Linked DNA regions of Rattus norvegicus. The protein of the gene in region 1 interacts with the protein of each later gene in a pairwise test. Links are inferred from orthologs where the notes say so. Each region holds a gene or a part of one and is shown in the gene's direction. Other genes may lie near its edges. The genes, in order: Grb2, Sos2, Hnrnpc, Sh2d4a, Wasl, Prr22 and Asap1.

The links.
Region 2: the proteins of Grb2 (region 1) and Sos2 interact in binary tests that used the Homo sapiens proteins (3 or more experiments, as listed by UniProt). The link is inferred for Rattus norvegicus from reciprocal best matches to the Homo sapiens genes GRB2 and SOS2.
Region 3: the proteins of Grb2 (region 1) and Hnrnpc interact in a two-hybrid assay, tested with the Homo sapiens proteins (2 studies listed by BioGRID and IntAct, with this or other methods). The link is inferred for Rattus norvegicus from reciprocal best matches to the Homo sapiens genes GRB2 and HNRNPC.
Region 4: the proteins of Grb2 (region 1) and Sh2d4a interact in binary tests that used the Homo sapiens proteins (3 or more experiments, as listed by UniProt). The link is inferred for Rattus norvegicus from reciprocal best matches to the Homo sapiens genes GRB2 and SH2D4A.
Region 5: the proteins of Grb2 (region 1) and Wasl interact in binary tests that used the Homo sapiens proteins (3 or more experiments, as listed by UniProt). The link is inferred for Rattus norvegicus from reciprocal best matches to the Homo sapiens genes GRB2 and WASL.
Region 6: the proteins of Grb2 (region 1) and Prr22 interact in a two-hybrid assay, tested with the Homo sapiens proteins (2 studies listed by BioGRID). The two-hybrid records come from large-scale screens. The link is inferred for Rattus norvegicus from reciprocal best matches to the Homo sapiens genes GRB2 and PRR22.
Region 7: the proteins of Grb2 (region 1) and Asap1 interact in binary tests that used the Homo sapiens proteins (3 or more experiments, as listed by UniProt). The link is inferred for Rattus norvegicus from reciprocal best matches to the Homo sapiens genes GRB2 and ASAP1.

The regions. Positions count from the first base shown.
Region 1 is NC_086028.1:101,445,234-101,449,858, reverse strand, and holds the start of Grb2 (growth factor receptor-bound protein 2), read left to right. Parts: upstream 1-1,720; 5' UTR 1,721-1,781; intron 1,782-4,625. UniProt on the Homo sapiens protein: Non-enzymatic adapter protein that plays a pivotal role in precisely regulated signaling cascades from cell surface receptors to cellular responses, including signaling transduction and gene expression.
Region 2 is NC_086024.1:93,787,355-93,791,186, reverse strand, and holds part of Sos2 (son of sevenless homolog 2), read left to right. Parts: intron 1-120; coding exon 121-293; intron 294-2,751; coding exon 2,752-2,868; intron 2,869-3,832.
Region 3 is NC_086033.1:27,279,741-27,284,230, reverse strand, and holds the start of Hnrnpc (heterogeneous nuclear ribonucleoprotein C), read left to right. Parts: upstream 1-1,515; 5' UTR 1,516-1,669; intron 1,670-2,253; exon of another isoform or gene 2,254-2,290; intron 2,291-4,490. UniProt on the Homo sapiens protein: Binds pre-mRNA and nucleates the assembly of 40S hnRNP particles. Interacts with poly-U tracts in the 3'-UTR or 5'-UTR of mRNA and modulates the stability and the level of translation of bound mRNA molecules. Single HNRNPC tetramers bind 230-240 nucleotides.
Region 4 is NC_086034.1:26,127,378-26,131,209, reverse strand, and holds part of Sh2d4a (SH2 domain-containing protein 4A), read left to right. Parts: intron 1-3,501; coding exon 3,502-3,613; intron 3,614-3,832. UniProt on the Homo sapiens protein: Inhibits estrogen-induced cell proliferation by competing with PLCG for binding to ESR1, blocking the effect of estrogen on PLCG and repressing estrogen-induced proliferation. May play a role in T-cell development and function.
Region 5 is NC_086022.1:54,066,250-54,070,081, reverse strand, and holds part of Wasl (actin nucleation-promoting factor WASL), read left to right. Parts: intron 1-810; coding exon 811-897; intron 898-1,548; coding exon 1,549-1,645; intron 1,646-3,832. UniProt on the Homo sapiens protein: Regulates actin polymerization by stimulating the actin-nucleating activity of the Arp2/3 complex. Involved in various processes, such as mitosis and cytokinesis, via its role in the regulation of actin polymerization.
Region 6 is NC_086027.1:1,684,925-1,688,886, forward strand, and holds Prr22 (proline-rich protein 22), read left to right. Parts: upstream 1-1,370; 5' UTR 1,371-1,425; coding exon 1,426-1,537; intron 1,538-1,621; coding exon 1,622-1,687; exon of another isoform or gene 1,688-1,979; coding exon of another isoform or gene 1,980-2,112; coding exon 2,113-3,188; 3' UTR 3,189-3,205; downstream 3,206-3,962. Other genes in the region: Dus3l (tRNA-dihydrouridine(47) synthase [NAD(P)(+)]-like), read left to right, coding at 55-130, 266-454, 548-676, 755-827.
Region 7 is NC_086025.1:97,978,967-97,983,464, reverse strand, and holds the start of Asap1 (arf-GAP with SH3 domain, ANK repeat and PH domain-containing protein 1), read left to right. Parts: upstream 1-1,514; 5' UTR 1,515-1,602; intron 1,603-1,832; exon of another isoform or gene 1,833-2,278; intron 2,279-4,498. UniProt on the Homo sapiens protein: Possesses phosphatidylinositol 4,5-bisphosphate-dependent GTPase-activating protein activity for ARF1 (ADP ribosylation factor 1) and ARF5 and a lesser activity towards ARF6.

The DNA.
Region 1 (4,625 bases):
TTCCGGTGGTTTATTGTCACTTCCTACAGATATGTATCTACTTCAAGCCTTCCAGGTCTCACTTCACTTGACACTGAAACTTAAGATGAGCTTCCTGGCTTCAAATCTTATTATCTCACCACCAAATGATATCCCCTCCTCTGTAACTGGTCATTCTAATATGTAGGTCCCTGGTGCTTGGGGCCAGGGTTCTTCTCTTTGAAACTAAGTAATTCTATCTAGATTGCAAACTGCTGGAATCATCCGGTTTCATCTTTTGCTCCAAGGAAGGCATTTTCAATGCAAATGAAGCTCCGTAAACACTTGGGGAAAGAACGGTTCACTTTCCTTATTCTAGGGGACCCATCTCCTCTATTGTAGCAGAGGTGGGTATTCTCAACTGAAATTCGTTGGCTTCTAGAGAACGCACTAGCATAGGATGTGTTCGTGCTCTCCTGTAATTGGAAAGAGCTTTTGGAACTGAGAGGTACTTCTCCAAGCTTTCCTCTACCGCTCCCCCATAGCCGGCAGCCCCACATAGGAATCTATGTACTTTGCATGGCACAGAACACGACTTTCTCACGCCTCCATCCATCCCTCTGTTCTTCTGTGCTATTCCGTTTGCCGGCTATGGGCTTACCCTGGCTCCTGTGCTGTGCAACTCCTACTCACCCTCAGCACTCGGCGGCACATCACCTTCTTTGTTAAGTCTTTTATGCAGTGGGCAGAGGAACAGAGCCAGCCTTTCTCCATCTTTTTGGCTTCCTCAGCATTCCCCCAAAGTACTATGTGTAAGTGTTATAGTTTGTGTGTGTGTGTGTGTGTGTGTGTGTGTGTGTCTGCACGAGGGTGTGTGCAGGTGAATGCCGGTGCCATCAGAGGCCAGAGGCACTAAATCTCCTGGAGCTGGGGTTACAGACAGTTGTGAACCATGGGATGTGGGTGCTGGGAACTGAAATCAGGTCCTCTGGAAGAGCAGCAAGCGTTTTTGTTTTGTTTTTTTGTTTTTTGTTTTGTTTTTGACCTCTGAGAGGTCTCTCCAGCCCAAGACATTACTTGTTTACTCTTCTGGTGCTTCTCTCGATTGATTGAATCGCTTAAGGGCCAGGATCTCTGCTCGTCGTTTCATCTTCTTTACCCAGCACAGTGTTTACCTACAGTAGGTATGTAGTTCACTCGGTGAACGGACTAATCAAACAGTTCATCAAACACTGCAGGTTGTACGAACCAGATTCCCAAACATTTCTAGATCTGGTCCTCTATTTGGGTCGAACCATCCTGAGATCTGCCGCCCCTCGACCCCTCCTCGAGGCCTCTTTGCTTTGCTTCGATAGAAAGAACGCTATTCGAGTGTGGAAAGCGCTATTCCGCTAGAGCAGAGCTGTAATTCACTTGCTCCGGCACGCAGAGGGTTACAACGGCCCAGGGGCGGAGCCGAGTCCCTGCCACCTGCTGCGGGGCGAGCTGACGCATGCGCGAAGTCCCCCTTAGGCTACCTGCCGGGCGGAGCGGAGGAGGAGCGCTTGCGCTCTGGGCCTTTTCCGCCGGGGAAAGTCTCGCGGGGGCGGGGCGCGGCGGGGCGGGGCCGCGTGGGGAAGTTCTCGCGGGACCCTGGCGAGGAGCGGAAGCTAGGCTGCTCTGCTGCTTCTGCGATCGGGCGGCGGCGGGGCGAGCCAAGCTGCGGCGGGGGACGGCGGTCTGGGCAGCGGGCGCCGCAGTCAGGGAGCAGCAGTGAGGTTGGCGGCCGCGGGCGGCAGCACAAGGCGGGCCAGGCCGGGTGAGGGAGCGGACGGCACGTCGCGGTGAGTGCAGGAGAGCGGGCGGGAAGTGAGCGGGGGCTCCGTCGTCCCCGCGCCGCGCCGGGCAGCTCGGGCCCGGTCTGCTCCGGGCTGCCGGGGCGGGCCGCTCGCGGGTCGGGGAAGGCTCGGACCGGAGCGCAGCGGCTGCGCAGCCGTCTCCTCGTTTCCCCTTTTGGGGCGCTTCCTTCCTGGTGTCGGTCTTCCTCCCGCTCGGGGCAGAGACCGGGCGAGCCGACGATTGAGGTCCGGTGTGGCGGCCGTCCGGCTGGGCGCAGAGGAGCCCGGAGCAGCCGAGAGGCACAGGGTGCTGCTCTGAGTCAGGCTGACTGAGCCCGGGAGGCGGGGGATTCGGTGCCGGCTGCTAACGTGGTGATTGATGCTCCTTTGACCTGCAAGGCAACCACGTCACCGTCTCTTGGCATCTTGCGGTCGAATTGTGTGCGGGAATCCACCATGACTTAGAATGATTGTTACCCGGACCCACCGACTGGTCTTTGCGAGAGTTGGGAGCTTCTTTTGTAGAAGTACTTGAGAAAAAAAAATACTTGTTGTGGGGGGAAAAACAGCAGCAGCTGATGGGAATGCTGGCAGGAAGGATTTTCGCGGAGAGAGCCCCGCTGGTTCATGTCCGTTTGCAACGCTCTAGGTTGTGTGGGTTTGTAAGAAAGTGATTTTTAGGGTGTCTTCAAAAGCTATATAGCAGTGCAGTTTGCCGGGAAGCCGAGGCGCGTTCAACGTCCGTCTTTTGATGGTGTTGACATTCAAAAAGAGGCTAGAGAAATTGGCTTTCTTTTGACTTCTTCGCCTCTCTTTCACTTTGCCCTGCAGTTTTTGTCCTTTCAGTCTCTATTCCACTCCACTAGGGACACGAAGTACATTTTTTTAAAAAATTTATTTATTCTATGTATATGAGTATACTGTAGTTTTCTTCAGACACACCAGATCCCATTACAGATGGTTGTGAGCCATCATGTGGTTGTCGGGATTTGAACTCAGGACTTCTGGAAGAGCAGTCAGTGCTCTTAACCGCTGAGGCATCTTTCCAGCCCCACGAAGTACATTTGTAACGCCAGTCATTGGCGCCTCCACCCCCTTTAGAAAATAATCTACTTCCCCTTCTTGTTCTTCCTCCGCTATAATTTTCGAAGTTTCTGCCGGTTTGAGCACTGTTAATTTTCTCAGTCGTTCTAAGATCCCCTTTTTGGGGGGGGTAGATACCTTCCCTTGTTTGCATTTCTTTTTTTTTTTTTTTTTTTTTTTTGGTTCTTTTTTTCGGAGCTGGGGACCGAACCCAGGGCCTTGCGCTTCCTAGGTAAGGGCTCTACCACTGAGCTAAATCCCCAGCCCCGTTTGCATTTCTTTTAGACTGTCCTCTGTATTCTTCAGCCAGCCAGAAGGGCTACTAAGGAGCCATCGGGGTGCTTGAGGGGGTTTAAGTTCTCCCCCTGGGAACTAGAAAACCCAAAGGACTGAATTCATTGCTAAGTAATCGATAGTGCCATCAGATCACAAGTGGATTTGCCTGTTCGCTTGTGCTATTTGTATTTTGGTGTTTTCTTCACAAGGTATCCTTTTGTGCCTACTATTTTCCTTCTTTCTCTCTCCTGTTTCTCTTCTCTGTTAGTAAGGAAGATTTTGAGCCAGTTTGGAAGCTGAAAGACTCCCCCCCTCCCTTTTTTTTTTTTCGGAGCTGGGGACCGAACCCAGGGCCTTGTGCTTGCTAGGCAAGCGCTCTACCACTGAGCTAAATCCCCAACCCCGAGGTCAACTATTGTTAAATGAGAAATCATCCGTGGAGTTTGTGAAGTAAGATAGCTTGAAATAGAAGAGAACTTTGGATATTTGTGAATTAAGTCCACCTTCCTCTCCTGACTAATGATATAGTCCTAACCAGGCTTTTTAAAATGATTTTTAATTTTGTATGTGCTTGAGTGAGTTTTGCCTGCATGTATGTATGGAAACCGTGTGCATGCCTGGTGCTGTCAGAGGCTAAAGGAGGACAAATACCTTGAACAGGAGTTACAGAGGGTTGTGAGCAGCCATATATATATGTGTGTTAGGAATTGAACCCAGGTCCTCTGGAAGAGGAGTCGGTGTTCTTTAACAGCCTGAGTTGCTATTCTCTCTAGTCCAATAGTTTTAAGCACTACTCACTGGTACTGAGGGTTTTTTCCATGATTTCTGTTATGTCGCATGTATACAGCAGCCCTTATGGAGAATTATGAATTAGGAGACAGCAAGACAGAGCTGCCACTCCCGGACAGGCATTTGGTGTCGTTACCTGCTGACCTCAGAGGCCTACACCTTTGGCCACGGTTATTGAGATTTATTCTTCTGTGTTTGTCAGAGTTGATTTTCCCGAGTTGTGCCAAGTCTAACATACATCATTTTCATTTTGTTCAGACGTAGTGCACTGAAATGCAAATTTTAAAATTTGCTTAGTGCTTCCTCATTTTAGCCTTGATTCTTAAAATTTGTATGTATAGACATAACCTGCCAATTAAGGAAGGGCTGGAGAGATGGCTCAGTGGTTAAGAGCACCGACTGCTCTTACAGAGGTCCTGAGTTCAATTCCCAGTAACCACATGGTGGCTCATGACCATCTGTAATGGGATCTAATGTCCTCCTCTGATGTGTCTGAGGACAGCTACAGTGTACTCATATATAATAAATAAATAAATAAATCTTAAAAAAGAAACCTGCCAATTAAAATTTTTTTATCCAAAAAAATTTTTTTGAGACAAGGTCTTGATATATTGTACAGGTTGGTCTCAAACTATTTCTCTATTGATTTATTTTGAGGCAGGGTCTCTCTGTTTAGTCTTGGCTTTCCTGGAACTCTATCTG
Region 2 (3,832 bases), on another chromosome or scaffold:
TGAGGAAGTGGGAAGCTGAGCTGGGTTCTGCAGTGTGTCTGTCTTCCCCCTGCCCAGTGTCCTCCCGGGTGATTAACTAAATGCGACCAGTCTGAAATAACTTTGAACATCTTTTGCTAGGAATATATTTAACAAATATTCTGAAGACTGAAGAAGGGAACAGCGACTTTCTAAAGAGGAAAGGGAAAGATTTGATCAATTTCAGTAAGAGGAGAAAAGTGGCTGAAATAACCGGAGAGATTCAGCAGTATCAGAACCAACCATACTGCTTACGGACAGAACCAGAGATGAGGGTAAATATTTTCTTACTAATCTTTGAAAGAGATGGCATTAAATCCTGTGGAATTGCTAAAAGTGTCATAGTGATGCACATGCTCTCTGTTTGCCCTTGGCTAAACTTGAGATAGCAATGTAAACACGGGTGTCTATGCTGTAGCAGTCACTAATGTTAAGGGCCTTCTCCGAGAGTCCTGCCTCCTTGTGTGGTGGTTACACACAAGGCAGAGGGAATGGAACATCTGTGCAATAAAATAAAACCCCGCTGCTGTTGTAATTGACTGATAGCCATTTTACGTGTCTCGCATGCCTGACATAACATTGAATCCCTTCATGTGATCGCTGTGAAGGACTTGGAGAATAGCAGGTATATATGCATAGCAGATTTTCAAAACACATCCTGTCAGTTGGTGTTTCGTTTTGAGTAATAATGTTTAATATAGATTATACAATACCACAAAAAAAGAAAGTGGTGATGAGCTGCCGTGGCTGTCCCTTCCTTCCTCACTATGTCTGCCCTCTGTGCTGTGGAGTGAAATGTATTCTTAAAGCCCAGGTTAGAGTCTGCAGTGTACTTTCCATAAAAGACATTTCAATGCGGTTGAGTACATTTGAAATAGTACTCTTCTCATTCGTGTCTCAGAAATATCAGCTAGTACAGTTCCGTGATCTTCTTTATGCTTCTTACCATCATGCAGAGCAAATCTCCCTTCCTTAGAATTGAGTCAAAGTAAATTTAAAATGAGCCAGGTCCAGCCATGATGGCTTATGCACATAACCCAACACTTGGGAGGTGGGGCTAGAGCATTGGGAGTTCAGGGCCATTCCCCAGTGGATAGAGGTCAACCTGGGCAACATGAGCCCTAGTCTCCAAAGAAGGGAATAAACAGCCATTCACCTTCAAGGCATAGTTAACCAACTTAAACACTATTGGAAAATAAGGCAAAGGTTGGAGAAATAAAGAGTGCATCTGTTACAGCTTTTATAAAGGATGAAATTACTGTTGCCTGACAGCTCCTTACTGTATCCTTGATGACCCGAGAAGAAATTGTATATTAAAGTAAAAATAATAATTTTTCTGACATTTGTAGAATGCCTGAAGAATAGAAAGGATTTTATATTAAGAAATGTAAAGCTCATTTTACCTATTGGTAAAATTACATGCCTGTAATCCCAGCATGTAGAAAGCTGAGGCAGGAGGATTACAAGTTCAAAGCAGCCTGAATTTTTTTTTTTTTGAGACCCTGTATCAAAAAAAAAAAAAAAAGCTAAACCCAGTAATTAGATTCCTATGTTTATTATTCTTTTAGAAATAATAAAAGAGGGGGCTGGGGATTTAGCTCAGTGGTAGAGCGCTTGCCTAGGAAGCGCAAGGTCCTGGGTTCGGTCCCCAGCTCTGAAAAAAAGAACCAAAAAAAAAAAAAAAAGAAATAATAAAAGAGAATAAGAAAAATATATAATGTTGAACACAGTTTATATGACAATGAGTTAGAAAAAACTGTGCAATCTCTATGGAGATTGCTGAAATCAGTCCTAGGATAGTAACAGTGTTCGCATTAATGTATCACACAGATAATAAAGTCCAGAGACACTCAGACTAAAATCAGAGCCTCTGATCAATGAAATAACTGCTTCTTTTTTCTTTTTTGTTTTCTTTGCCATTTGAGCTGCACGCCAAGCCCAGATCATTTTGTCATTTACAGTTTGGAAGACTGAGATGCACTCAGCACTTAAGAGCATGCACTGCTCCTCCAGAGGACCAGAGCACAGTTCCCACCACTCATATCAGCCACTGACATATTCCTGAAACTCATTCTGCACCTGCACAAACCCACGCATACGTACACATAGGTACACAGACATGCACATACACACATCCATGCACACACACAGATGTGCACGCTCACACCTTGTTTTTTGGCATCTTACTAAATCATCTCAATATTCTACTTAAAAAAGCTTAAAATATATATTTGTAGTAGTTTTTTTTGTAGTAGTTTTTTTTTGGATAAACACAGGTTTGGATTTTTACATTTTTTTGGCCTTGGAGGGTAACACAGAAAAAAATTAAAGCTATAATTGTCTTTTAAGTTACTTTTGAATATACCTTACTCCAATTATCTCTACTTTTTTTCCTGCTTATCTACTACATGCTGTGGTTTTCGGGCATAATCTTCATTGTAAACTCTGTTGGTAGATGAATGGTAGTAATTTTGCTGTCATAGTGAGCAGGAAGACAGTTGCTAAGAAACAAGTGATGCCAACAACTGAGCTGAGAATCTGTTCGTTGTACTAATAAACTATGAGGCTAGGGTGCTGCTTCCTTGGAAATTGTACAGTCTTAGTCACAAATAGAGAGAAGAAAGAGCAATCTGTCTAAAAGACTCGAATACTGTGGTATCTTGATTTGTTTTATTGTTAAAGTTAATAGGATCTAATTTTAGTATATATGTGTATTTATGTGTTTAATTCTAGAGATTCTTTGAAAACCTCAATCCCATGGGACTTTTATCTGAAAAAGAGTTTACAGATTATTTGTTCAACAAATCTCATGAAATTGAACCCCGAAACTGCAAACAACCACCTCGATTTGTAAGTCTTTACTCATTGTAATTATGGGAAGTTTTGTCTCTTTTTTAAAATATTTTCAGAGCGCTTGCCTAGGAAGCGCAAGGCCCTGGGTTCGGTCCCCAGCTCCGAAAAAAAGAAAAAAGAATAAAATATTTTCAGGGGCTGGAGAGATGGCTCAGCGGTTAAGAGCACCGACTCCTCTTCCAGAGGTCCTGAGTTCAAATCCCAGCAACCACATGGTGGCTCACAACCATCTGTAATGAGATCTGATGCCCTCTTCGTGTGTCTGAAGACAGTGACAGTGTACTCACATATATAAAGTACATAAATAATCTTTAATAATAATTTCAATGTTTAACAACCTAATTCTCTTAAAATTGATCTCTCAGCAGTAGCTGTTTTGCTGTTTTATTCTACAGTACTATTCTATTTCCAAAATTATGTATACAGGGTAGGCTGGGGCTCAGACATAAGAGTTCCTGTGTGAGGCCCTGGCTCGCCCTCTAACATCACAAAAAGAAAATAATACTTAGCAGAAAATGTCAACATTTTAATAGAAACTGATTTAAAAAAAAAAGCAGCACTGGGTATAAGAACTAGGCCCACATCGTGCTAAGTATCCTTCATTTTGGTGTCATTTACTTTTCTGTCCATTTTTGTACCTCCTGATATAAGAAAAAATGTATACAAAAGTGAGGCCAAAAGCAGGTAGCTGGATGGAACAAGTGAGAAGGCAGGGAAGGAAAAAGTGGGTGTGCTGTGCTGGGTACCTTTGACCCGCACAGAGCCCAGGGTTCTGTGGTTACCCTGCAGGACTCCTCGCTGGAGTGGTTGCTGCAGTTCTCAGTTATCCGGGGATTTGCAGTGGAAAGCCATCCTAAGTATTAAGGGGAAAAATAAAAACAACTAGAGCATGCTGATTTGTGGTAAGACAGTGAACCAGGGGGTTTGTGTTTCCTGTCCTCATAACAGTTGTATGAAATGG
Region 3 (4,490 bases), on another chromosome or scaffold:
TGTGTCAGAATAAAAGTCAAGACCAGAAGTGGTTACACTATCATCGGATCTCAGCATGCTGAGGGCAGAGGTAGGAGGATCACTGTGGGATGGATGCCAGCCTGGTCTACATACAGGCTGCATAGTCTGACCCTGACTAAATAAGTAGCAAAAAAACCAAAGCGAACTTCCTGCTTGCTACTCTGGTTTGGATTCAGGTGCACCTCCCTCACCAAAGCCAACTTCTTTACAGAACTGCTTTGCCTGTGCTTAGGAGCTCTGTCAGAGGAGATCATTGCGTGTTTGTTCCTAACACCAGGGAAGTGAAAACAGAAGGAACCTGGGGTTCAATGGCCCGCAAGCCTAGCCATGAAGGGCTTCCCATTTGTCTGTCTACCTACCTACCTCTACCTAGGTACTTATATTTATTGTTTTTTCGACAGAGAGTTTCACTATACAGCCCTAGCTGTCCTGAAACTTGAGTAGACTGGCCTTGCACTAGAAATACCGCCTAGCCCAAACCTTTCTTTAAAGAAAAAAAAAATAAAATAAAATTGGGAACACATAAACTCGCTGGACTGGAACATTTAAAATAAATCCTTTGAAAATGTCAAAGGTTTAAAGGTCTAAAGAAGACCTAAAAGATTATTTTTTATTTTTAAATCAGGAAATTTCCTGGGGTACTCTTTCCCTTTCTCAGTAGGCTATATACATTTTTGGCCTGTTTAATGTTTCTACAGTGTAACCAGAGCTTTACTGGCCGAGCTGAGGGGGTTAAGTAGTATCAAGCTATTGCAGGAAGTGGGAAACTGAGGCGGCTGGCCATTGGTTTTGCAGATTGTGTGACGACTTGGGCCCAGGAAACGGGTTTATAGGGGTCTAGGCAATTGCTCTTATAGGAGAGAACTATGGAAACCAGTTGGTTTGGAGGGAGCTGTTCACTGACAAGGCCACGTCCTTCCAATAGCTTATAGAATCTGGCAATGAGAGGGGATCTGAATTTGAAAATAACTGCAGACCTGTTTAGTTTTTAACACTTCAGGCGGCCTAGGGATTACGATCCTCCCTTCTCTAAAGCTTGTTTGCACTTCCCTTTTTTTCCAAGGCCTGAGGCTAGGGCAGGCCCTTTGCACCCGCTACCAGACTCCACCCAGGCTTTCCCACCTCCGTGCCGCGGAAATGCGGTGATCTGGCCGGACCTAGGATCTCTAGGAAGCACTGATAGGACGACACGGCCGTCAGTCAGGTCCGCCGGATACCCGGATGAGAAGCTGTGCGCGATACAAAGGCGAAAATTCCACCCAGCTTTCCGTCTGGTACAGTGACCAATAACCATCCGTCAGACACTAAGTGATAGAAAGCTTAACCAATTACTAAGTAGCTTTTGTTACGCATGTGGAAATTCTCCCAATTAGCCCAACCCACCTCGTGTGATGATTGGACGGAATTGTGAGGAGCGGTAACGCTATCTAATTAGGAGCGGGAGCGAGAAAAGTCACAGCCAATAGAAACGCCTCCGGGAGCGGGGCGGGGGCTGGACTTTTGCCTCGGCGGCAGAGGAGCTCGGGGGCCATTTTGTGAAGAGACGGAGAGCGAACGGTCGTGTGGTTCCTTGCTGTTGTAGCTCCGGCTTCTCGGCGTAGACCCGCAGTAGGAGAGGCAGGCTCTTCTCTCTCTCTCCTTCCTCTTGGTAAGCGGAGAGGGCGAGGGCAGGGGAGGCCCTGGGTTGCTGGGCCCCGCGAGGGGGTTGTAGGCGAGAAAACGGCCTCGCGGCAGAAACCGAGGCCGCGTTTGTTCCTGTGCGTTGGGGATTGGGTCTAAGGCGGGAGGCAACAGGCCTCGGCCTTGGCGCAGGTTCAACCTAGTGACCTCTAGGCCACGGTGCGTACGAAAATACCCTCTTTGCGCGCTGGTGTTTAACGGCTACTTTCATTTCCTTCCCCCATTAGGATTCCAAGGGGGAGCAGGGGAGCAAGAAAGCGAAGAACGAAATGCTTGTTAATGTAATTGTAGTGAATCTCTTACTCCGTTATTGTCTTCTAAGCTAAATGTCGGGCGTGGGTGGGGGAGCGATAACATGGTGGTGTAGTACTGGAAGCTTCTAAATTCCAGGCCGGCCACATGGCATCTGAACGGCGTTTTAACAATAGATTAAGTAGTGATTACTTTTTTCTTCAAGGGATAGATGGGTAAAAGTCGGGAGTGCTTTTGGTTTGTAAAGGGAAGTGCCCAAGGTAAATTGTAATTGGAATAATTACAGCTTTTTATCTGCAGGTTACAAATCACATAAGTTAGTGGAACTTTGCTTGAGGTAGGTACTGCTGTCCTAGAGAGAAGTGAGACTTAAAAGTGGTTGACAGGACCGGACTAAATCAGTAGTAGAGAAACTAAGATATTTCTAGGCAGGTCAAGTTACTAGAATAGACTATACACAAGAAGAGACTTAGCCGGTAGGTGGTGACAGTGCACGCCAAATGCCTCCCACCACTTGGGAGGCAGAGACAGGCAGATCTCTCTGAGTTGTGGGCCAGCCTGGTCACAGAGAGAGAGTTCCAGGACAGCTCGGGCTACACAGAGAAGCCCTGTCTCAAAAAGGGGGGTGGGGTGGGAATGAGTTTTTCTTTTTAGAGGAACCTGATACCGAAATTTACAGGACATTTTCAATCTGGACTTGGGAACAATAATTAAAAGGCACAGAAATAGTTTACAGATACTCCAGTATTAATCCTACCCATCTAGAATGGAAAAAAAGCAGTTTACAGCTAGTTATGGTAGTGCAGGCCCGGAATGTTTGCATTCTGGAGGTTCAGAGACAGGAAGATCCTGAGCAAGATCCCATTGCAAGGCAGCCCAGGACTACATAGTAAAACATGTTTAAAAATTAAAGTAGTTGCTCTCTTGTAGGTGTTGAGTTCTTTTTTTTTTTTTTTTTAGATTTATTTATTCTATATAAGTACACTGTTGCTGTCTTCAGACACACCAGAAGAGGGCATCAGATCTCTTATTACTGATGGTTGTGAGCCACCATGTGGTTGCTGGGAATTGAACTCAGGACCTCTGGAAGAGCAGTCAGTGCTCTTAACCCCTGAGCCATCTCCTCCGTCCGAGTTCTTTTAAATATAGCTAGTGATAGTGCTTAGGATTCAAGATGCCCAGGATTCAATCTCCCATACTAATAAAGGGTTTTTGTGTCACATTAACTTACCTGGGAGTTATTTCATTAGATAAACTTATTATAAAATTGGTATTTCACTCTGGCACAGTTTTTAATCTCAGCACTAGGAAGGCAGGAGATCTGAATGTAGAGTAAATCTAGTAATTCTAGGACAGCCAGGGCTATACAGAAAACAATGGGTTTGATTAAGTGACAAAAATATGCTACTAATCTTAGTTTAAACTATACACACATTTTACTCTTAAGCATACTTCATGGAATGTGCATGGCCTACTCTTGTAATTTGAGCACTTGGGGGATAGAGGTAGGAAGAGTTCAAGGCCATCCTTGGTCCAGCTTGGAGTATTAAGACTGTCTAAAGAAGAACAAATGCAGACAAAGGAAAAAAAAACAGCCTCCCACATTTTTTGTTTGGTTTCTCTGTGCAATAGGCCTGGCTTTTCTGAACCCACTGTCTTGATTAGGCTGGCCTTGAACTCTGATCCACCTGCCTCCGCCTAAGTAAGAGATGGGATTAAAGGCATGTGCCTTTAAAAAGTAGATAGAGTACAGGGTTTTGCCTGGTGAACAGTGAAAACTAGGTAAGAGAAAGTATTATAAATGTCAGAAGTTATGCAAGGTTACTGGTAGTAGTTGATGTATACTTGCCATTAAGTGTTATAAATGTAGGCCAGGCTTGGTAGGCACCTTGTTCTGGTAGAACATGTGGATTTCTTGGAGTTTTGAGGCCAGACTCAAATTACATTTTTGATTTGACTTGGGAGGAAGCTGTTAAAATTGCAAGGTTTGGATCTCTCATTTGCCATGGTCAAGCCATTTTCCAAAATGGTTGGTAATGGTTACTATTTTTTCTGTAGAGTAATTATAACATGTTTGCAATTTGATCTCTAGATTTATTGGCTTGTGATCTTGTTATAAATGGGCATGGCTGTTCAAGCAAGTAAGGAATATATTCCTAAATAGTTCGTTACAGTCTTATAGATGATGAGTGGAAGTTACTAACTAGGGAAACTACAATTGAAAAATCTTGGCTGTGTAAAACTATGTAAGTATCCAGTAAATTAGACTTCTGGATTTGTTTTGAGATATAAAACAAGCTAAACTACTACTTTATATGGAAATTTTGAGTTCTCATTTAACCCTAGTCATTGCTGAAAGTAGTTGACAAAATACACAAAAAATTGTCCTACCCCACCCCCACCTCTGTTTCCTAAATTATTACTGCCTCTTATTGGTGGAGTATGCACCCCAGTACTTGGGAGGCAGGGGCAGGCAGAGTTGGAGGCTAGCTTAGCTTAAGTAGCTAGTTCCAGGGCAGCCAGTAACAAATGTTATT
Region 4 (3,832 bases), on another chromosome or scaffold:
ATGTCTTCCCTCAGGAAGCTTATGCTTTGGATGTAGGGGAGAAAAGATAATCTTTTTTCCATGAAGTCTGGTGAGCATAAGAACTCTGGGGAGAATGAAGCAGAGCGTGGAGGCTGGGAGGTGGGTGGTGACTGGAGAAGGCCACCTGGAGATGATGGGGCAGAGCCTGGGGAGGCAATGACAGTGGATGAGAGGGCAATACAGTCCAGGCAGAGGGACCAAGCACAAAGGGTCCAGGCACAAAGACACCGAGCTGAAGGCATCTTTGATGTGACCAAAACAGGATGGCAGGTAACTGGCGAGAATGAATGAGAGAGTCAGCCTCAGGTCCCAGAGAACGAAGGTGATGAAACAGGATCTCCTCTCCTAGACATCAACTTAGAAAGAAGCCTTTACTTTTCTAAGCTTCTTTGGATAAACAGAAAGGTCCGGGCCTGATCTCATCTGCTATTTACTCGTGAGGCTCACTTCTTCTCCACCGTGCCATATAATTACACTGTAGAGAAGAAAGGACTGGGTTTACTAAATATAGCACTCTCCAACATCTGATTATCACCTATCAACCAGGTACTCTCTGCGTGTGTGTGTGTGTGTGTGTGTGTGTGTGTGTGTTTTAATGTTTTGTCCTTCAGTGGGTTGTGGTTTTAAACTTCTTAGTAAACAACCTGGGCATAGGGCACTGGGGGAGTTGGCTGGAGTGATGGCTCAGCCATGAAGAGACTGCTATGCTCTTGAAGAGAACCTGAGTTTTAGTCCCACAACCACCAACACCATGCCACTCAGCTTCCTCAGACTCCAGGGAATTCAATACCCTCTTCTGTCCAACAAGGGCACCTGTACACATCTGTACACATGCATACACACAAATAAAAGTAAAAGGCATTGTCCTTCTTGTTCATCCTCAGCGACGGAGTGGGTCAGAGTCCTGATGTGACGCTGGAACTGTGAGGTTATTTAAGAAGAAAACAGGGCCTTGGGAGATAGCTTGGTTGTAAACTGCTTGCTGTGCAAGCAGAAGGACCTGAATTCTGATCCCCAGGTAAAAATGGGGATGCAGGGGTGTATGTCTTAGAACTATGGCAGGCAGAGGCAGGCAGACAACAGGGGCTTGCTGGCCAATAGGATCTAGTGAATCAAAGATCCCCAGGCTCAGTGAAAGAACTTGTCTCTAATAGTAGGTGGGAAAATGACTGAGGAAGACACTTGATGTTGAAAACTAGCCTCTATATGCCCTCTCACTTCTACACAGAGGAATGCCCACATATGATCACACTCAAAGAGAGACAAAGACAAGGAGAGAGAGAGAGAGAGAGAGAGAGAGAGAGAGAGAGAGAGAGAGAGAGAGAGATTAAATAAATACAAATGCATGTGTTGCATAGCTGGTTCCTTGGCCAAGACATTCCATTCAGGGAAAGGGAGGTTCACAAAATGGAGAACTTATAAGCACCCCACCCAGTCCAAGGTTAGATAGGCAGTAAATAACAGGTTTGGGGCTTTTCAGTGGCTCTACCTGCAAGGTGAGTTAATGACTCAAAGGATAGAACTTGTGAGTGTTTACTGTACTGGAGAGGGCTTGTTGGTATATCTGCCTTTCAGTTGTCAAGTGCTCCCATGAGCACCCCCAGTAACTTCTCTGTTTCCTCAGTCTAGACTTGGGGAAAGTGTTTCCTTCATGACTAGTTTGCTCACATCTGCCCAGGAAAAGGTGTTCCAAATGAGCAGAGCTCCTTTCTTAAGTGTGTTTTGTTAGGTTGGTTTTTGTTTTTGTTTTTGTTTTTGTATTGCTTTTCCTTTTCTTTTTCTTTCTATTCAAGTTTGAAAATCGAGAGCAGTACATAATGTACTGCAGGTTTGTAAACAATTTCAGTAAAGGGTAACACATTTCAGTACACATTTCAGTCATTTCTACCACCACAAGCTTTCTTTGAATTAAAAACAAACAAAAAACAATGTGCAGCAAATGATAGGTTCGTGGCTCTAGGCAGGAAACTATGTTTAAAAAAAAATAAAAGGTATAAGATGTGTGCAGATTAAGTTTAGCACAGTTTCAGAGGGTTACGACCTTACTGCTGGTTTATGGTTCTCTACAGTAATCCAAGCTAAGGTTCCCAGCGAGATTTATGTTTTATTGTGGTAAAATACTTTCATGGCAAGGAAGTCTTTGTATACATTTGTGTGTAGATGAGGGTGTATTATATACGTACCTGGAAGAGGATGCCCCTGCCAGTACATGAGCAGACAGAGGCCAGAGGTTGGCACAGATGTCTTCCTCTGGGGCTTTGCACATTTAATTTGAAACTTGGTCTCTCATGTAACGTAGAATATATTGTTTTCAGTTAGACTGGCTTGCCAGCAAGCCCCTAGGATCCCCCTGTTCCCACCCTTCCAGCTCTGGGGTTACAGGCACATGTCACCAGGCCAAGCAACTACGTGGATAATACTAGGATTCAAACTCAGGTCCTCGTACTAGCTCGGCAAGCACTTTACACACCGAGCCCATCTTTGTAGCTGGAAAGTCATCATTGTCATGTTTTTGGAATCCATGATCAACTTTCTTCCTCCTCCTGCTCCTCCTCCTGTTCCTCCTGCTCCTCCTCCTGTTCCTCCTGTTCCTCCTCCTGTTCCTCCTTTTCCTCCTCCTCCTCCTCCTCCTCCACCTCTCTCCTACCCTTCTCCTCTTGCTCCTTCTCCTCCTCCCACTCCTCCTCCTGTTCCTCCTCCTCCTCCTCCTGCTCCTTCTCCTGCTCCTCCCCCCTCTTCTCCTTCTCCAATGCCCTATGGCACGGGGCATTGAGCTTGAAGCTTTGCTCACGCTAGGCAACGCAGTAATAAGTTTCACAAGCTGTTCCATGTTCCTGAGCCGAAACCATGACCCTGTTTTAGTTCTCAGACATGGTCTTACAAAATAGTTTGTCCTGAACTTGTACTTACTCTGTAGTGTATTTCCCCTTCTCAGAGGTCATAGTGTGTGTGTGTGTGTGTGTGTGTGTGTGTGTGTTAAGAAGAAAACAAAAGAGCCCCGTGCCTTTGTGAGCCATCTCAAATCATATATCATATTCCCTGTTTGTATAAAAAGTTGGAGAATATATAGTCCCCAGCTGAGACTGCCCCTGGAAGTTTACAGCAGATCAGTGTTTACGCTGGTCCCATGAATTGACATATTTACTTCAGAGAAGGAAACTTGGAATATCTGTCAGCCATGTCTGTTTAGTAAAGGCATATGCTATACATTGTGCTAGGCATTTTTGAAAACACAGATATTCACTATAACTCTATGGAATGCTCTTTCTAGCTGTACTTTGGGAAAACAGCTTGTGAGAGGATCAGGAACAGAAAGTCCCACATGGAGATACCTGAAGTTCTAGCTTCCGGCATTGCTGACACCAAGTATCTCCCTAATGGGCGGAGAGAATTTAATAGAAGCCCAGATGCCGCCTATCCTCTTAAAGAACCTGTCACGTTTTTTCTCCTCTTCCCATCTCTGTTTTTATTTTCAAACAGACTAAAGACCTCACCAAGAAAAAGGACAGTGAGGAACTGAAGCAGACAGAGGACGAGAAAACGAAGCAGATATACAAGAACTGGAAAGAAGACTCCGAATGGCAAGCATCTTGTGAGTACCCAGGATCTCTCGGCAGCACCATGCAGGGTCTCAGCCGGGCCTTCTAGTGCAAAAGCATCCGGGAGGCATCCAGAGCTCATCCTGGAGAAGTACCTGTCCACTGAGTTGTCACTCAGGTGTTACCAGTAAATGCTGATTCCTCGGGGACTTGAGTAGCAGGAAGGTTTGGTTTCATCGCTGTACCCTTAAATTAGAGAGAGTTTCTGCTCG
Region 5 (3,832 bases), on another chromosome or scaffold:
CAAGTAGGGCAGGTCTTGCAACCTCCAAACCTAGCGCTCTTCTCAATGAGCAGTGATGTGTGTTTATGAGCAAAGCTCCTCAGTGCTGGCAACCTCAGCTGTTGATTTTTCATATTTTAAATTTGTGATGTAGTTGGAGTTTTGGGTTTCAAATCGGCAGTGATTACATTTTTCTCACTATTTAATTCTGATTGGAGGTAGCCATTGCTTACTAATTATAATTACCCACCTTTGGCATGAAGAATAAGTAGATTTCTTACATTGTGTCTGTAGATATGGTAGTATGTAGAACTCTCATCTCTTGGTTAAATTTGTTATGTTTCAATCACCTGTCTTGCTGCTGCATGGTTGATAGTACTTGAACTAGTGTCTCCTTAGGCCACTCTGCAGAGGTCTAGAATTCAGAGTATTACCGAACAGCCCAGAGACAGTGTATTGGATTATTCTGCATCTGTAATTGAGGAAAAGGGTAACAGTATTACTGTGACATTTGGTAGAACATGACCGAAAGCTTAGCTAACGGAGTTACACAGTGGAGCATCTATCTCACTTGCCTAGAGTGATGTCCCTATTCCAGTGAGCCTAGTTCTGTACTCTGCTAAGTGCTGTACTTGGAAATGCTTGCCCTGCTGAATGAAACCACTTATAAACAGGTTCCATTTAGTTACTGTATTGTGTATGTTATATGTATATGACAAATATATGTTCCTAAAAGTCTTTGTTTATAAAAACAGTCCCTTTAAGGAGTTGTCTCCTTTTTAATCCTAGAAGAATTTTTTTAGTAGATTTTAACTTTTTTTCTTTTTCTAGGATGGGAAATTACTGTGGGAACAAGAGCTATACAATAACTTTGTATATAATAGTCCTAGAGGATATTTTCATACCTTTGCTGGAGATGTAAGTCCTATTTTCTTTTTATCTTGGTAATTTTCCTATTGGCTGCTGTCTTAATTACTTTTCTGTTGCTGTGAAGAAATAGCACAGGTAAGGCAACTTACAGAGGAAAGGATTTCTTTGGAGCTAACAGTTTGAGAGGGTGAGTCTGTGACCATCATGACAATAATCACAGCTACAGTGAACTCAGGAGCAGTAACTGAGAGCTTACCTCTAATCCACAAGCATGGGGCAAAAAGAGCTGACTGGGAATGAGTCCAGTTTTTGGAACCTCAGGGCCCACCCACAGTGTGCCTAACAGTCCAGTTAGGCCACATTTCAACTGGGAACTAGGCAGTGAAGCCAGTGACCTTACAGGGGCCATTTTCATTCAAACCACCACAGTTGCCTTTGTTCAATCTATGTTGTTTATAAAGTTCTGTTGAAACCAAATGTAATTTTTTTGCTGAAGACAAAGTATTTAGTTGTTAAGTTTTTGCCAAGTAAGGAAGCTTTTCTGATAGTCTTACTTTACCTTTTCTGAGCTTTTTGCCTTGAAGTTACTTAAAATGTAACTTTGCTCCTTGTGTGCTTCCATGGATTGTCATTATTTTTGGTTTATAAAGCTAAGTTCATGAACTTTCTTGTTTGTTCTTTTTGATGGAAATACTTCAGACTTGTCAAGTAGCTCTTAATTTTGCCAATGAAGAAGAAGCAAAAAAGTTCCGAAAAGCAGTTACAGACCTGTTGGGTCGACGACAAAGGAAATCTGGTAAATACCTCCTTGCTTTTCCTTTTGCATTGTGTACATCACATGAACCAGCAAACTAGTTATCAGGCAGATGTGATTCTCAAAGTCAAATCGTGGTCCAAACTGGCAGCCTGGGTTCTGCTGAGGTGGCTTCCCAGACTGGGAGCAAGGCTCATGCAGAGTGCGCTCGCTGACCAAAGTCAGAAAAGCTGCTATAAAACATTGGATCCTTCTGACCAAGTCAGAAATCCTGTTTAAAAAAATTATTGAAGAAGAACTGTTTTCACTCTTCGACATCTTCAGATAATTCAGCTCTCACTAGAGAAAATTCTAAAGAGCTGCTATTGCTTTCTGCCAGCACATCTCATGCAAGCCAAAATCGGTTTTCTGTTTACATATCAATGAAGTTATTTATTCTAGGTTCCCTTTTGATTATTCTATGAATCTGTATCCCATGACCTCCCACCCCACCCCCAGCCCTTTGATTCTTAGGAGACAGCAAGCATATACTTTTTTCTTAACATTGCAAAAAAATTTAGAGGCCCTGTCCCAAAATTACCATTTCCACCATGACTGAGTATAACCTTGCTCTATCCCAAGCTGACCTTGAACTTAGGAATCTTCCTGCATTGGCATCTGCCTGTCTGTACCTTTCTGACAAGCTGGCTCATAGCATACATAGCACTTGTTCCTTTAGATTCTTAAAGCACCTCATAATTCATATTGCATTTTTTGCATAGTTGAGAAATTACATATTTTGTAACTCATGTATTTAGAGCTCTTTCCCATAGCCGTAAGGGCTGTCCAGAAGGTCCCAGCCTGTATCATTTTGCTGAGACATTAACTACATCCTCAACTCCTGGACTCATGCTCTTACTAACCTTTATGGCATCATTAATGTTTACAGGAAGGACATTCCTCGGGGCGGGAAAGAGTCCTCCACTGCTAGAACTGGTTCCAGAAAACCTGTACATTATCACACAAACAAGCCTTATGCTCAAAGCAGCCATCGATAGTCATGGAGGCTCACCCCTGTCCCAGGAGCAGGAGCCATCTCACTCTGTCCCAGCCAAGGCCACACTGGTTCAGCATGTTACTGTGTGAACTGTGGGCATCTGGCTTTATCATCCATATGCATACAGGCAATGGCTAGTGTTTGTCCCGGCACAGTTAGTGTTGTGGCAAAGCTCATATAGCCTGAATAGTTATTGTCTGGCTTTCTCTACAACAAATTTCCATGGTACCTACTTCAAAAGAAATATTTTAATTTCAGTAACCTTTTTTACAAATAAAATTTTATGTTCAGCCACTCCTAAATTTGCATTAATGGCATTCAAAAAACATATTTAAGTATATTTTGCAGTTTTAGTCTTTTTTAAATTATTACAAGAAAAAATAATTATTTAATATTGCCAAATACTCAGTGTTCAAATATCCCAGTATATTATCAGTATGTTTTTTAAACTTTTTATTGTTGTGAATTTCACATCATGTACCCCAATCCCACACATCTCTCTGTCTATCCAAAGCTGTTCTCTACCCTTGCAACCTCCCCCCAGATGAAAACAAAGACTAAAAAACAAAATGAAACAAAACAAAACAAAATCTCATCACAGAGAGTGCAGCACGTCACACAGATACCCTTTGGTCCAAACAGCTTTCCTTGCAAGTGTTCATTGCAGTGAGTCGTTGTTCTGGTCTGAGGCCTGTGGCTCCTATGTGTGCTCTTAATACTGGATCCTCACTGGGACTTCTTCTCTTCCCCGTCTCCTCTTCCCTTTCTTCCTGTCCCTCTCCTTCTCCTCCCTCCCCCTTCCCCTCCCCCTCTTCCTTTCCCTCCCTTTCTTTGCCACCTGCAAAGCTTTTTCATGAAATCTGGAATCCTAACTCTAGACTTCACACTTGCCAGGCAAGCACCATTATGTACTGTGTTGTCTCTCTGAGTCTCTAGAGTTGGATTTAGTGACATTTTGTGATGAGTATCTAGTGGACCTTTGTGAAATGCTTTAGTCAGAATAACTGACATTTTTGAAGTAGAGGAATTGTCCTGCATATAGTGGCTGTCTAAACTTTTAATTGTTTCAGCTGCACAGAGAACATGGCCTTAAGGGTACAGCTGAGTTGGTCACTGTTGGCTGGCTCTTCATACCTTGTCTCCTCCTTTTTTTACCTTAGTCACAGGGTTCTAGCTAGTAAACAACTGATGTG
Region 6 (3,962 bases), on another chromosome or scaffold:
TGTCCTCATGTCCATGGGGCCTGCCACTGTCAAGACCCCACTGTGTCTCCTCAGGAAATGGAGACATCCTTTCGTTTGAGGACGCCAACTGTGCCATGCAGACAGGGGTTGCTGGGATCATGGTTGCCCGGTAAGTGACGCCAGATGGGCTGGGACAGCAATGCTAGAACTTTCTGCACCTGGGGACCCTGTGAGGCCGAGGCCTGGCTGCTGAGGTGACTGGAGCTAGGAGGCACCATGTCCTCAGTGAGCATCTCCCTTGTAGTGGCGCCTTGCTCAAGCCCTGGCTGTTCACTGAGATCAAAGAACAGAGACACTGGGACATCTCATCCTCTGAGCGCCTGGACATCTTGAGAGACTTCACACACTATGGCCTGGAACACTGGGGCTCTGACACACAGGGTGTGGAACGGACCCGGCGCTTCCTTCTTGAGTGGCTCTCCTTTCTTTGCAGGTGGGCACTGAACCAGGCAAATGGCCAAGGTAAGAGATTGTAGCCTCAGACCTCACCGAGCCTTATTGCTTCCTCTGCCCTCCTGGCCCACAGGTATGTGCCCGTGGGCCTGCTGGAACGACTGCCACAGAGGATCAATGAAAGGCCACCCTACTACTTAGGCCGTGACTACCTGGAGACACTCATGGCCAGCCAGCAGGCTGCAGACTGGATTCGAATCAGGTACGCACTGGCCAGGGCTCTACAGGTTGATGCTGTGAGGCCCAGGCCTGATCTGATCTGTCACTTTTGTCCCCACAGTGAGATGCTGCTTGGACCAGTTCCACCTGGCTTCGTCTTCCTGCCCAAGCACAAAGCCAATGCCTACAAGTAGCTAACAGAGACAATAAATTTTATTCTTGTAGAATTTCTTTTATTTTGTTGGGTTTTTTTTTTTTTTTTTTTGGTTTTTTTTTTTTTGGAGCTGGGGACCGAACCCAGGGCCTTGCGCTTCCTAGGTAAGCGCTCTACCACTGAGCTAAATCCCCAGCCCCTTGTTGGGTTTTTTGAGATAAGATCTTATATGGGCTGGCCTTGAACTCCTAGAATCCTAGGCACACCGTCCATCACACTGGCTTTTTCTTAGGTGACCTAAAATGGCCTCTGTTCCTCTTCTCCTAGGAGGTGGCCTTGGCAGGTGCCTGGTCCCCGTCTGCACTGTTTTCTGACTCTAATCTGTCCCGTTTTGTTGGGCAGTGTCCTTGGGACTTTGAATTGGGTGACTTGTATGGAGGCAGCAACAGAGACCTGGCTCCGGGTGGAGAGGGCCGCCTCTTGCCCACCCCCTCCCCCTCCTCCGGAACCCAAGTGATGGGCTTGCCCTGGACTGGAACCCTCCACCTAGCAACACGGTGCAAACAGAACCCAGCGGGACTCTGTCCCCAGGTGCCTCTGCTGCCACCCGGGCCCCCCCGGGGTGGCCTGTCTCACCCATGCAGCATCCCAAAACCCTCTATCCCCCAGCCATACCCCAGGAAAGCTTCAGCCTGCAGAACCTGGAGGGCCCTGAGGTACCAGGTGGCTCAGAACCCCTTCCCACTGTAGGTATGATGGTGGTGGTGGACAGGGGTGTGTGATGGCTATGGGGCCTGGGCCCCTGCCCCACCTACCAGGCACCTTTGTCCACAGCCAATGCTAACCTGCACTATCAGAACCCCGGCTCTGACCAGGAAGTGCTTCCAGCCCCTCCAGCAGGTATCGGCCGGCACCCTTGAGCCTCGCTCTGAACAGGCTTCATACCCAAGATGAGACCCCAGAATTGCCCTGGGTCCCCTCTACCCCAGACAGATACCCCCATAGCTGAACTGTGTCATGTTTTGAAGTAACACTGGAGAGCAGGCTGAAGCCTGCTTTGGTGACAGCGGCTGCCACTAGGCAAGGCTTTCTGAGAGGCCTGGGCACCCGAATTCAGGTCGTTGTTTTCCTGAGAGGCATCAGAGGAGAGGACCCCAACAGTCTCTGTGTCTTGCCCCCCACGAGTCCCCAGATGACTGGTAAACAGCCAGTTTTCAAGGCTCCTCAGAGGCCAAGGCTGTGTCCTATGTCCTGGGCTTTGGGACCCTCAACCCCCATGGCCTGGTTCCCCCATGGAGCCCCACTCAGGTGTCCACCACCCACAGGCTTCCAGATGGCTCCCTGCGGCTGCTTCTTCGACCCCCGCATCTACCGCATCGAGTGGGCCACCTCCGACTTTGGCCAGTCATCCCTGTACAAGGTGGCAGTGGCTGGGGGTCCTGCCTTATCTGGTGGCTACCTGCTGGAGGCCCCGTCCTACCTCAAGACCCCGGGGCCACCACCTCTGCTTTATCCCCACTACCAGCCGGCCCCCAGCGGGCCACAGTACCTCACACATTTCCTTCCACCAGAGGAGCCTATGCCTGAGGCTCTGGGCTTCATGCGGGACGGAGGGCCCCTCAACTTCATGGAGGTGCTCAGAGACGGCCTGGCACCCCCGCCAACCCCCAAAGAGACTAAGCCATCTCCCTTGCTTATCACAGTCCCCACAGCACACACGCTGCCACCTGGGCCCTATGGCCATCTCGGTGGCCAGACCAGCCAGTTTCCAGGACCCCAGGTGACCATGAGGCCCACCGAGGCCCCCAGGGAGCTGCAGAGTAGTGGTGCAGCCAGGCCGGGTCTGCAGTTCCCTCCTGGGCCTGGAGAGCCCACGGTGGCCAAGGTGGAGGAGGTCACCCCAGTGGGCTCAAGTGAGACCGTGCCTCCCGAGGTGGCTCGTGCGTTCTTCCTACCAGACAAGGTCCTTCTAGAAGATGCCATGAAACTTTTTGATTGTCTCCCTGGTGGCACTGAACCTGAGGTGGCCTTGCACAGGGGTCCTGGCCCCGGACTGCGGGACAGTGGTGGTGGTGGGGACGACTTCCCAACTGACATCCGCTCCCTGCACCTGCCAGATGACCTGCTGTCCTTTGACTACAGTGTCCCTGAGATTCTGGACGCGGTGGCCAACGTGGATTATGTTTTCAGCTTCAAGGCCCTGGAGGATGAGCCGCTGCCCCATCTTGGGGCCCCTGTCACTGACACGGCGGCCCCTGGCCTGCGGTCCCATCAACCGGGGAAAAAACCGAGCACATCCACCAAGAAAGGGAAACCAAGCGGTAGACACAGGCAGGCCACTGGCCTTGCTGGCACCACTGCCACAGGACCCAGGCTGGACCCAGGAGCCACCCCCAATTAAAGCCATTTGATCTCTCAGCTATGTGTGGACACATGTCCTGTGACCATGACCAGGCAAGACCGCCGACTGCATGGTGAGACTGGGGGTGGGGTGGTGCCAGTCACGTGCCTTCAGAGTTGAGTCAGGAATCTCAGAATTGGACTGTCAGGTATCAGGGTTGAAACTAAACTGTTAGCCCTACATTTAGGTTGCCTGGGTAGGAGGTTGGAGGCCAGTTTGGTCACAAAGTACAGCCTCATCTACAAGAAATGAAGATATGGTGCTGCAGCTCAGCTGGTAGAAGGTTGGGGGTTCATTGGTAAAGTGCGTGGGGCTCAGTCACTATTCACAAAACCCTGGACTCCTTCCCAGTGCTATATAAAGCGAGTGTGGTACATGGTTGTAACCCTAGCCCTGAGGAGGTAGGAGAAAGTCAGAATTTCAGGGCTAGCCTGAGCTCCCTGAGCCTGTCTCAAGAAGAAAGGCAGTTGCCTCAGACTGGCCATGTTGGGAGGTCTCTTGAGAAGTGGGGTTTTCTTTTCCAGACACTACTGAAATGGGTTCCCTCGTATGTTTGGTGGTCAGAGTCAAAGTGTCCTGAGAGGAGTGGGCACAAACCTGGAGATGCGGTGTGTAGGTAGGCCCTGGAGAGTGGCCGTCCCCTTTGGCCTGCCAGATTACTGCACCTCACCTGTGCCCAACAAAGCCAGAGTTTATGGAAGGCAGGCAGGGAGGTTGGCCCTGCTGTTTGGGGGCTTTGGGTCAACCTCAGCATGGGTGCTGGTGGGAGGGCAT
Region 7 (4,498 bases), on another chromosome or scaffold:
GCACTGTGAGTCAGAACAAAAGAGACAGTCAAGAATTCTGGGATGGGATGCTGGGGGAGGTGATGGCGATGACGGTGTGGGGGCCAGACCCAAGTGGATCAAAGGGTTAGGGGAACTGTGAGGGCCCAACTTCTGCTCTGTGATTTATCTGTCAACTTCAGACCGGTAGAGGTTCTTTCCCAAATGTAGATAGGATGGTAGGTGAAGGACAGGAATCCCTGGTTGGGTTCCTGGAGCCCAGCTTGGAGTTTTTCCTGTGACCTGTAACCAGTGAAAGTGTTGGAGAAAAGACATGCATTTGGCTGCCAAGCACAGGTCTGTTCGTCCTTGGGAGACAAGCTGGTACCCAAGTTTCAGTTCCCAGCATGTTCACTTCAGTTCTCGCTTGTACGCACGTGGTCCTTCCTCTAAATCTCGGAGTCAGAGGAATCTGAAACACTCAAGCAAAACCACCAAACTGCAGCCTACAGGTAAAATGTGGCATTTCCTGGGGAAACCACAATGAATCACTCCCAATGGCTGCCCAGACTCCCCTGCTGGTTCTCTTAAACCTCCAGGGGCATCTCAAGGCTTATTAACATGCCCTCCCCGAAGTCTCCCACCCTCAGGTTAAAAACAAAATCTCAAATCTTGTGAGTCCTGGTGAATTTCTAATTTCACCAGAAAAGGGTCTATGCAGTGGCTGACCTTTTCTTCTACAGACAAGACTCAAAGAAAAACAATCACCTGTAATTAAGGAGAAACTGACACCCTTAGGCCAGACCTGCCCCTGAGCTGTGTAGGTCCACACAGACATGCAGAATACACACCCTACAAGTTAGAAGCCTCCTTTCTCTGAAGTCTCTAGATTGCAGCAATACCCAAGCATGGGTATCACCGATGTTGCCAACATCCCTGTCTAAGCATCTTGTTTTCAAATGAAGACTATGACACTCCTTTCTTATTTGAGAAACTGAGGCTTAAGGAAGAATCATTTGCAGGAAAGAGGAAAAGGCCATTCTCCAACCAGGCTTCAGAGACCGGAATGTGCGATATGCCAGATCATCAGTGTGGTGTGCTGACCCAAACGGTTTTCCCTCCAGGCACTGGGTAAAAAGATAGAAATCGACGGGAAGGAACAGGCGAAAGTAGCCTAGGAGAAGTCATGGCGGGATGGGAGAGGCCACAGTCTTCTGGTGTCCTAGCTTTAGCAAGCCCCACTTCAAGGCCAAGGTTCTCTGTTGATAAGCCCCACCTCTGCTCTCTGTGGCCAAGGAGGCCCACCCCATGCATCTCCTCCTGCACGGTCCTACTCCTGAGCCCTGAAGTGTGCCGGCTGGCCAAGGGTTAAGCGCGGCGGGAGCCCCCGGCGCGGGGCAGCGGCGGGCCGGGAGTGCTTAGTCAGGATTCCGATTTCCTGCTGAAGTGTTTGGATTTCCTGCAGCCCGCGCCCGCCGTCGCCGCCGAGCGGGCTCGAGAGAGCGGCTCCGCGTCGCCGGCCTCCTCCTCCTCCCCCTCGGCACATGGTCACCCGCCCCTTCCTGCGCCGCGCTCGGCTCCCGCGCCTCGCCCGGCCTCGCCGCGCCCGTGATGGAATAATGCCCAGCGGCCCGCCCGGTCCCGGTGAGTGGCGAGGCGGCGGGGCGGCGGGAACAGGCGCGGCGGGGCGTTGCACGGCCACCCGGACACCCCTGTGGGCTCCGGGTGTCCCCGTCTGCCCGCAGAGCACCAGCCGGGGGCGTGCGGGGCGCGCGGCCGGCTCTGCAGGGGTTGGCGGGGCGGACCGGGAACTCCGCTGCCGCAGCGCCGGAGCGCGCGTTCTCCTGTTCCGCGGAGGCGACTCCGGTTGGGGGCGTGCGCCCAGGGCGCAAGGCTCCCAGCTCAGGGAGGAGGCCCGGGCAGCCGCTGGGGCGCTCTCGGAGTCCGCTGGGGCGCTTTCTCTGTCCTCCCGGGCACTCTCCCCTCCCATCGGGGCTCTCCCTTCCCTCGGGCGCTCTCCCGGCCCTCTGGGGCGCTTTCCTTCTCCTCCCCGGCACTTTTCCCGGTTATCCCGGGGCGCTCTCTGAGCCGCGCGGCGGGGAGGCGCGGGCTTTGGCCGCCGCATTGTCTCTGGCGCAGCGGAGGAAAGTTCCCCTCGGCGTGGGTCCCGGCCTGGACATGGCGCTGCCAGGCAGGCCCCAGACCACTAAAAGCAAAAGAAGCCGGGAATGGGGGTGGTAATCCCCCGTGGGAACCGAGAAGTGCCTTGTGTCTTCCGCTTGTACAATTTTGGAACCTGATGCTTTTTATGAGAGCAACAGTAAGTTTAAACGAAACGGGGGGAAAAAGAGAAACTCGCTGGTATCTGGTTTTCTACTGTTTAATTCATCCAGATACATCATCTCGCGCCCTCGTAGGGCGGGTTCATTTTATCAAGGAGAGGCTTAGCTAAGTCTAGACCAAGTTAACTTGACCTTACCCTTAGCATACTGATGCAAAAGACCATTTTCCTCCTTGTATCGACTCCATCAGGTTGTTTTAGCAGAATTGATTCTAGGATAGCAGTGATACAGGATTGCTGAGTAATGTTTTGAGACTGTAAAACACAGAATTTAGTTTTTAGGCCAGTTTCATGTCTGTTCTAGCCTGAGTGGCCAGGTCTTCTTGCTCGGCCACTAGAAGGCCTTTGGGAATGGGGCTGAGGGGGCCATAGAAGAAAAGAATCTCGGAAAACAACTGTTTTCTCTTTTAATGTGGAAGAGTTTCAGAAAGAGACCTGTTTTGTCTAAGGACACAACTACTTGGTGGCCTGGCTGGGAATAGCTAACTTCCAAGTCTATAAACTCTGGGGCCTGGCCTCTGTGACTATGCCAGATTGTGATCTGCCAGCCACAAGTGTTACTGTGTCTCTCAACGGTCTCCACTTTAGCACCTTCTCCTGTTCTCTTATCTGTTATTGCCGCCGTTTTAGAGACATGCAGTTATCTCAAAGAACATATTTTGAGATTAGGAGTTTAAAAATTACTGTTTAGAATGCATAATGATTTTAAGTACTCGAAGGATGATTTTAAGAGTTAGCAAAAGAGGAAAAGAAAGAAAAAGAAAAGACATTGTCCAATTTCTGTTCACTGATGCAAGTGGATTTGGGATTCAGCTACCAAATGGATTTGAAATGTATAGTGGTAGTTGTTATATGGGGAATTGCTTTTCTCTAGTCTTCCATTTTTTTTTGTTTCAAACAGACAAACTCCAAACCGGCACTGTCTTGACATAGAATGTGCTGTTGAGATTTTCAGAAGTCTCGATTCTGAGTCCTCCTCTCTCTCTGAGCCAGGCAGCCCACCTAGTTTCCTCTTCTTGAAAGCTGAGTGGCTGGCTTTTCATTTTTAGTATGTGATAATGTTGGAGAGAAAGGACTTTTTCACAAGCTTGCCATTTGGTGAAGGAAATTGAAATTCCTTACACCTCTCCAGTCCTCCCCAACCACAGCCAGATAGATTTTCAATACCAATGCAGGCCTTGCAGGCTAGAGATGAATGTGTGCATTCAAGCCTAGCCTTCCTAGTCTGGGCCCTCCTCCCAGCTGGCTGCTCCATGTTGTTCCCAGGTGGCTGCGGTCTAGGGGAAACGAGAGCCCCTTGTACCTGTGCTTTTCGTGGGTTTTCCCTACCAAGGTCTCATTGTGTCTGATGGGATCTTCCTGGTCCCTTTACATTTTCTCCTCCCCTCTTCTTTTTCTCTCACTGGTGTATCTGATATGGGCTCCAAGGGCTTTTCTAGAAATCTGCACAAATGATCCTTACATAAGCGATGATGACAGTGACACTAAGCACTTGTTGCGTGCTCTCGACTTGTTGCCTCCTAAGAAGGACCAAGAGAGTGTTAGGGAGATGGCTCAGTGGGGAAGAGTGTTTGCTGTACAAGCATAAAGACCTGAGTTCAAATCTCTAGCATGCATGTAAAAAGCTAGATGCCCTGGTAAATCCACACCCACTGAGTGAGTGGGTGAAGACAGCATGGTTGCCTTGGCCTAGCTTTAGGTACAGTGAGAGACCCCATTTGATCCTGTGTTCACTCCTTGGTATGTGTACTCAGGCAGATGTGCACATGTTCTCTCTCTCTCTCTCTTTCTCTCTCTCTCTCTCTCTCTCTCACACACACACACACACACACACACACACACACACACACACACACACACGGGTCCCCCAAAGAGGGAACTCCTTGGAAGTCTTTCTCAGAAAGGACAGCCTTTCTCAAATTCATGTGGATTGAGTCATTCTTGTATGCAGTAAACATTTGCTAAGTGGCTCCTCTGTGGGAGGTACTAGTCATACAAAGATGAATAGCACCCTGTTCTCAAGGCCTCTTCTTTTCAGCCTCATCTTTCATTGTCAGGATTATGCTCTTTCATTTAATTAATCAATTCCACAAACATACATGGAACACCTGCTCTACGGCTAAGCCTTGCATGGAGTCCCCTTGAGATGGTGATGAACAGGATAGATGAGGCCCCGCCCCCCTGGGGCTGGCATTCCAT